Sus scrofa: one gene and its partner. Each later gene encodes a partner of the first gene's protein in a complex. Links are inferred from orthologs where the notes say so. Each region holds a gene or a part of one and is shown in the gene's direction. Other genes may lie near its edges.

What was found.
Region 2: THOC2 (region 1) and CHTOP share a complex: the UniProt entries of both Homo sapiens proteins name them as parts of the transcription/export (TREX) complex. The link is inferred for Sus scrofa from reciprocal best matches to the Homo sapiens genes THOC2 and CHTOP.

What each region holds. Positions count from the first base shown.
Region 1 is NC_010461.5:101,190,390-101,194,215, reverse strand, and holds part of THOC2 (THO complex subunit 2), read left to right. Parts: intron 1-77; coding exon 78-235; intron 236-1,169; coding exon 1,170-1,298; intron 1,299-1,666; coding exon 1,667-1,798; intron 1,799-1,886; coding exon 1,887-2,071; intron 2,072-2,573; coding exon 2,574-2,752; intron 2,753-2,991; coding exon 2,992-3,094; intron 3,095-3,747; coding exon 3,748-3,826. UniProt on the Homo sapiens protein: Component of the THO subcomplex of the TREX complex which is thought to couple mRNA transcription, processing and nuclear export, and which specifically associates with spliced mRNA and not with unspliced pre-mRNA.
Region 2 is NC_010446.5:95,996,331-95,999,772, reverse strand, and holds the end of CHTOP (chromatin target of PRMT1 protein), read left to right. Parts: intron 1-666; coding exon 667-804; intron 805-2,483; coding exon 2,484-2,689; 3' UTR 2,690-2,889; downstream 2,890-3,442. UniProt on the Homo sapiens protein: Plays an important role in the ligand-dependent activation of estrogen receptor target genes. May play a role in the silencing of fetal globin genes.

The sequences.
Region 1 (3,826 bases):
TATGTTGTCATGTTTAGTGACCTTGAGGCACTTGAGGAAGAAGTTTACCACTTAATATATTCTTCCCTTATTTTTAGAATCTACCAAAAATGAGACCATCACAAAATTTCTACAGCTGTGTATATTTCCTCGATGTATTTTTTCAGCAATTGATGCTGTTTACTGTGCTCGTTTTGTTGAATTGGTACATCAACAGAAAACTCCAAATTTTTCCACACTTCTTTGCTATGATCGAGTAAGTTCTTTTTTTTGCAACCTTTAAAAACAAAGTCTCACACAAAGATAGCTAAAGATTTTAGTCTATAGAGGTATTATTGTGTGTGTGGTTAAAAGCATGAACTCGAGAGCCAAGTGCCTGAACTTGAATCCTAACTCTGCTACTTTCTAGCTATATGATCTTTGGCAAGTTTTTTTTAACCTCTCTGTGCCTCAGTTTTCTATCTGTAAAATGGGATAATAGTATCTGCTTCATAAGATTGTTGTGAGGATTACGTGAGTCAATACACATAAAAGCACTTTGAATAGTGCCTGATACATAATAAGCACCCCTAGTTAATCTGTTAACTCAGCATTCTGGTTTATATGTTTGTCATAATAGGCAGAACTCTTTTCCATTCTTAACTTTCACCCCCTCAAAAAAACAACGAAAAACCCTTAACACTTTTGCACATATATAAAAGCAGGGATGCTTTTCAAGATGGCCACATTGACAGATTTTTATATCTGGCTTTTTTTCTTAATAATAAATTACTGCATTTGTGGTTTAAAAGTGTCATATATGTTACAGCCTGTCAGCTGCCTATTTCTAGTTTCTGTCATCTTCGCCTCTGCTTACTATCACCTTAACCCCAGTAATATTTATGGCTAAGTCTTTCTTAAAAGAAGTTATAATGTAATAATCATGATAGTTTTTTCTTCTGTCATTGTAGATGAGCTTTCTTTTTTTTTATAAAAGTGCTTTTTTTTTGTTATTGTTGCTTTATGAATGGACTATTTCCTCACAAAAGCCAAACATTTTAAAGGTCTCTGGAATTGTGAATATAAAAGGGGAAGATGTGCTTTGACTAAACTTACCTGTTTATTATGATTTGCTGTTGCATAATCTTTTAATATTTTGAACTAATTTTGACCTTGATTTGTTTTTATTTTTCACACATTGTTTTCTGTAGGTTTTCTCTGATATAATTTACACAGTTGCAAGCTGTACTGAAAATGAAGCTAGTCGATATGGGAGATTCCTATGCTGCATGTTAGAGACTGTGACCAGGTGGCACAGTGATAGAGCCACATATGAAAAGGTATGACTAACAAATAGTCTTATATTTTACCCATCTATACAATGACCACTTCCGGTAATCTTTGGGTTGTTCAGTTTTAAAAGGGAAGCTGAGTTTAAGGCTCAATTATAAAACAGTGTTTAAAATTTAAGCATAATTCATTCGTTATTTTTAAAATGCTCTATTTTTTTTAAAATCCTGTCTCAAACTGACATTCCAAATTAATACCATCGAGTAAGCTGAATATTTCTGTGAAAACTACCTATCATTCAAATATACATGTTTTCACATGGAATCATTAATGTAGTCTACTTAGGTTTCAGCTTTTGCTATTTTGGAGGACAGAATTTTTCTTTAAAAGTGACAGACTTTTTTTTTTCCCCCTGTAGGAATGTGGGAATTATCCAGGATTTCTTACTATATTACGGGCAACTGGATTTGATGGTGGAAATAAAGCTGATCAGTTAGATTATGAAAATTTTCGACATGTTGTACATAAATGGCATTACAAACTAACCAAGGTAAGAAAAAAATTGTATTTCTTAAAGGTGTTTTTTTCTCTTCATAATTATCCTTTTATAGTAACAGATCTTAAAATGTTTGTTGTAGGCATCGGTACATTGCCTTGAAACAGGCGAATATACTCACATCAGGAATATCTTGATTGTGCTAACAAAAATACTTCCTTGGTACCCAAAAGTTTTGAATCTTGGTCAGGCTTTGGAAAGAAGAGTGCATAAAATCTGCCAAGAGGAAAAAGAGAAGAGGCCAGATCTATATGCATTGGCTATGGGGTAACACAAATTATACTTTAATGTGATTTATGAGACTAGATTACAGAAGGATTCTGAAGACTTTAAAATGTTTTACAGTGTTGAAGTTTATCTTCTGCTTTACTTCAGGAGATTATGGGAGATTATGCGATCATGTTCCCACAGGCTGGTGAGAGTTGTCACTTCTGATTATCAGCTTCCGGTCTATACTGGATGATAGTTACAAAAGTCATATAATATGTCTAGATTTGGAGGAAATGTAATTTTATCATCAGTTAGCAGATCTTCAGTAGTGAAAAAAAGGCACTTTAGTTGAAGGATTAGTATACATTGAAATTTTCGTTTTTAAGAAATGATCTAGGGCTCTTAGTAAAGACCTTCAGGAATTTTCTGAAAATTAATACTTTTCATTCTCTGAAACCAAGTAGCAGAGTGAATAACTTGCTAATTTTATTCTTTTAAACCCCATGTTTGTGCTTTTTGATTTGTATTTGTATATTTAAACACTTTGTGCGACTTTCAGCTACTCTGGGCAGTTGAAAAGTAGAAAGTCATACATGATACCTGAAAATGAGTTTCATCACAAAGACCCCCCTCCGAGGAATGCAGTTGCCAGTGTACAAAATGGGCCTGGTGGTGGGCCTTCTTCTTCATCGATAGGAAGTGCATCTAAATCAGACGAAAGCAGTACTGAGGAGACTGGTATGCTTATTTGTAGAAATTTATAAATAATACATTTTATTTCAAAAGTGTTTAAAATATTCTGTATCACATGACAAGTAAAATGCTTGATTAGTAATCCTTTTTAATTCCCTAAGTAGGAGTATATAACTTAAGACATAATCAGCCTTTTCTTGCTTTTGTCTCTAATGATTTTGCTATAAAATTGTAGTTTATTTATATCTAGGGGCTTGTCAAATAAAACCTTACCTTTATTTCAGATAAATCAAGGGAGAGATCTCAGTGTGGTGTGAAAGCTGTTAATAAAGCTTCTAATGCCACACCGAAAGGGAATTCAAGCAATGGAAATAGTGGCTCTAACAGGTAGGAACACTGTGCTGTATGTCAAAATCCTGATTTCTAATGTGATTAGCCTCAGTAGACGTGAATGAAAGAGTGATAGTTGACTACTATGAAAGTCATTTATTTTGGACTTAGAAATTTTGTATATACCACTATTTTGATAATGTGTTTGCCATCCTCATGTTTTTTATAATACTGAGGCTGACTTTATTTCCTTTGTTGGAATATGCAGGGGAGTGAAGTTAAAATTTTTTTTAGTACTGAGTGTTTGCTGTGGAAAGTCTGTGTAAGGATAATTAATATAAGAAAAGCCTATACTGAGTTAGACCAGTGATCCATCCAGCCAAGTAATCCAGTTCCTGATAGTAACACCCTTAGTTGGCTTAAGGGAAAGTTTTTGGTTGTTACTTTGTAATCGAAAGGTTATGAACATATACAAAAAGGTCTGATATCACTCTAATCACTCTTCATAATCTACTCTTTGTGAATGTGGTTATTATTTACTGGATAAGGAAGTGCTTCCTTTTTACTGGTCTTAAAGTTGTCCTTTAGTTTTCAAAGGGCTCCTCTTAGTTCTGGAATTTTGAAGCCAGTAAGAAACTGTTTATGATTTATAATATATTGAATATATTTTATGACCATTTGTCTTAAAATCTGATGTTTTTATTCTTAAGCAGCAAAACTGTTAAAGAAAATGACAAAGAAAAAGGGAAAGAGAAAGAAAAAGAGAAAAAAGAAAAGACTCCAGCTACT
Region 2 (3,442 bases), on another chromosome or scaffold:
TAATAGTGCTGCATGTCTTTTATCGATACCATTCCTTTTCTGATAATGTGCAATGGTGAGAGGCTATGACCTGCGTAACAACAGGTAATTCATATCATCTCCATTCCATTTAAAACACCCTGCTGCTGCTTGAATCAAAGCACATTCAAGTTCTAGATATAAGTCAAATCTAAGAAATGTATAGGTCTGTTGGCCTATATCTTAACATCTCTGTTCCTGGTTCCAGTGAAACACTCCATTGCATTGGAAAAAAGAGGACAAGTTGACCCATAGCATTTAGCTATATGTTACTTTTTTGGGCACTGTTACACTGTTCCCTGTATAGTTTTTGTCTCCTACAAAAATGTATTAAGAGCAGGAACCATTTCATTTATTTTTAAATCTACCATAATGCTAGGCACCTGATTATTCAATAGGTATTTATTAAATGTATGTACTTACTAATTGATCTAACTCCCAGCTTCCAAAAATGGATTGTGGTCAGACTTGTTGAATTGATTGAATAAAGAGCAGCTTAATCTGTTGACACTCAGTGTGCAGCTTGCCCCACCCAACCTAAAAATTAATCGAATTAACTCATTTAACCCTCACTGCCTTCCTTTGGTTAGAATCTACTTTGTCTCTCTTGGATTTACCTGCATATACATTGTATGCCTCCTCTCCAAGGTCAAAACCTGCTCCGAGGTGGACGAGCCGTAGCTCCCCGAATGGGCTTAAGAAGAGGTGGTGTTCGAGGTCGTGGAGGTCCTGGGAGAGGGGGCCTAGGGCGTGGAGCTATGGGTCGTGGCGGAATCGGTGGTAGAGGTTAGTCAGCTACCAACTTCAGAGAATAGCACCCCCTTATTTTCTCTCCCTTCAAAACTCAGAGCCACCTTTCTGCACAGCTTCAAGTCATAGGCAGGCTTATTTGTTTGTCTTGTTTGTTTTATGAAACTGGCTTATTTTCTAAATTCACATGCTGGTAGTGTGAAAGTCTGTCATGGGTTTTCCAAGAACAGTCAGGTATGTGTTACAGAGCCAGGTTATAGTCAGTCTTTCAGGCTCTTGCAAATTTAAATTGTATCATTAAAGTGATAAAATTGTCAGTATGGGGTTTCATCTTTTTCTGTCCCTGGCCCCACCACCACACACCCCATCCCACAGCTCGTAACCCCACTTTTGGGCCTAAGATTTAGAGAAGAGAGAGATGTACAGAAACGAATCAGTTAAAGAGGATGGTGAGGCTTGGTGCTAGGTATTGACTCTGAAACCAAGTAAATTTAAGGTAAAGTTGGTGTCTGTGTGAAACCAGAGATGACTTTTTTTTTTTTTTTTTGATCAAGATTAGAAAAGCAAGATGGTATTGTGTCAGTTAACTAACTGACTCTTGTTGATAATCTCATCGTGAGACTTAGTGATACCTGTCACGTGACTTCATGGCCCAGATTGGAAAAGAGATTTTATGGTGTTGCTGTTAATACCAAATCTCCTGGGAATTTTCTGGCTTAAAGTTTTGTGGAAAACTCCCAACAACACCTGTTCAGGAAAAAAAATACATCCTTGTTGCCCCTGTGTATATTTGCTTTGATCTTTTTTAAAGTGTGTGGTGGGTCTTCCATAATTGATGACCTTGAAGCTGCCAGGGGATAATAACTACTGGGAAAGGAAATTTGATAACTGAGGGCTTGTTTTCTTCTCTCGCATTATATGTTGCTTGGCTTATTGAGTGAAGGGCAAACTAGTTTGGGTTTCAGGATGAAATAGCATGTTTCCAAATTATCTTGACTTGGTTTCTGAGAGAGACATCACAGGAATGGGAGTGGGGGAGGCTCTAAAGTAGCTTTTCAGAAAGCTGGGTGTGTTTTGTTAAGTGAATTGAAACCACCTCTCAGATAACCATATTTGTTAAAATGTGGATAGAATTGCAGATAGAAATGGCTGGCACTACTCAGAATGTTTTTCCCTAATCTCCCTTCATTGTTCCCATGTCAGAATAACTCCTCAGTCTCCTGACATGGGATCAGCTCATTAGGTTTGATAAGTTTGAGGAGAGACAAGCTAATTTTTCAGAAGGATGTCCAATAAAGTTTAATTAAAAACTTTACACTCATTTTTCTGTGCCCTTGTTACTTCCTCCCTGTTTTACTACATGGGGTTATCTATAGTGTGTTTGTATTTTAATTATAAACTTACAGTGAGTCTCAAGTTTTAGCTTCTATTTTAGAAGAGATTGAGTCAATTTTAACTTTCAGTTAAATATTTTCCCTCTGTTGATAGAATAAAAATTTTTAAATAGCATTTAGAGAGGAGCATGTAATAAGGGATTCATTATGTGTGCTTTCCATGTGTTGCTTTCTACCCAGTGTGTTTCCTGTTTTTCCAGATTTCTCCTCTTTGCCCTGCCCTTCAGTCTCTCTCAGCTAGGCCCCACTGCTCTGAGGGGCATTTACCATAGCACCTATTAAACCTACTTGTAACTATTTCTTCTTTTTCCCTTGGGCCAGGTCGGGGTATGATAGGCCGGGGAAGAGGGGGCTTTGGAGGCCGAGGCCGTGGACGTGGACGAGGGAGAGGTGCCCTTGCTCGCCCTGTACTGACCAAGGAGCAGCTGGACAACCAATTGGATGCATACATGTCGAAAACTAAAGGACACTTGGATGCTGAGTTGGATGCCTACATGGCACAGACAGATCCTGAAACCAATGATTGAAGCCTGCTCGCCCTCCTGTGAGACTCTTGTTCTAGTCACACATCTGTAAATAACCTTGAGATAACAGATGGGAAGAAACCTGATTGATGCTGGAAGGACCTATCATAATAGGCTGTGGACTGACTTGCCACAAGTTTGTGCATTTAGTGTGTTCCTTTTACTTTTTGATACTGTGTTGTATGAAACACTTTTTTCCTCTGACTTGGGTTTTGTTTTGTTGTATTGTTTGAGGTGGGTTTTGGTTTTTGATTTTTTTTTTTTTTTCCTTTGCCCAGACTTATCTTTGAACACAAATGTGTTGGCCTTATGGCTAGTATACCCTTTTCTCGCCTCTGCCTCCCCCTCACCTGTCACATACTTTGACATTCTAACATTTTTTCTGTTCATCTCTGTGCCCCCATGAAAAAGTCCCAGAAAGAGCCCTTCGGTGTTCCTCCTTAATGTGTAGGTTTATGAGATATAGTTTTGCATCATTTTTAATAGCCTCCTTTAGAGGCTTTTAAAATCTGGAGCTCAAAAATGCATTCTGCCACATTGATGTTTTTAGTATGGTAAATGAGGAACCTTGACATAGCTACAGGGCCACCTAACAGGTTACACCTGGTAGCTCTGATTTGATTATGGGTATCACAGTGTACATTTGCACCACATAAGCAATATGCTGGTTTGGTATGTGCACTTTCTACCCTGGAATGGGACTTAAAAACTTTCCTCTTGGCTTTGCATCATATCCAAGGGGTACTTTGGGGTTGG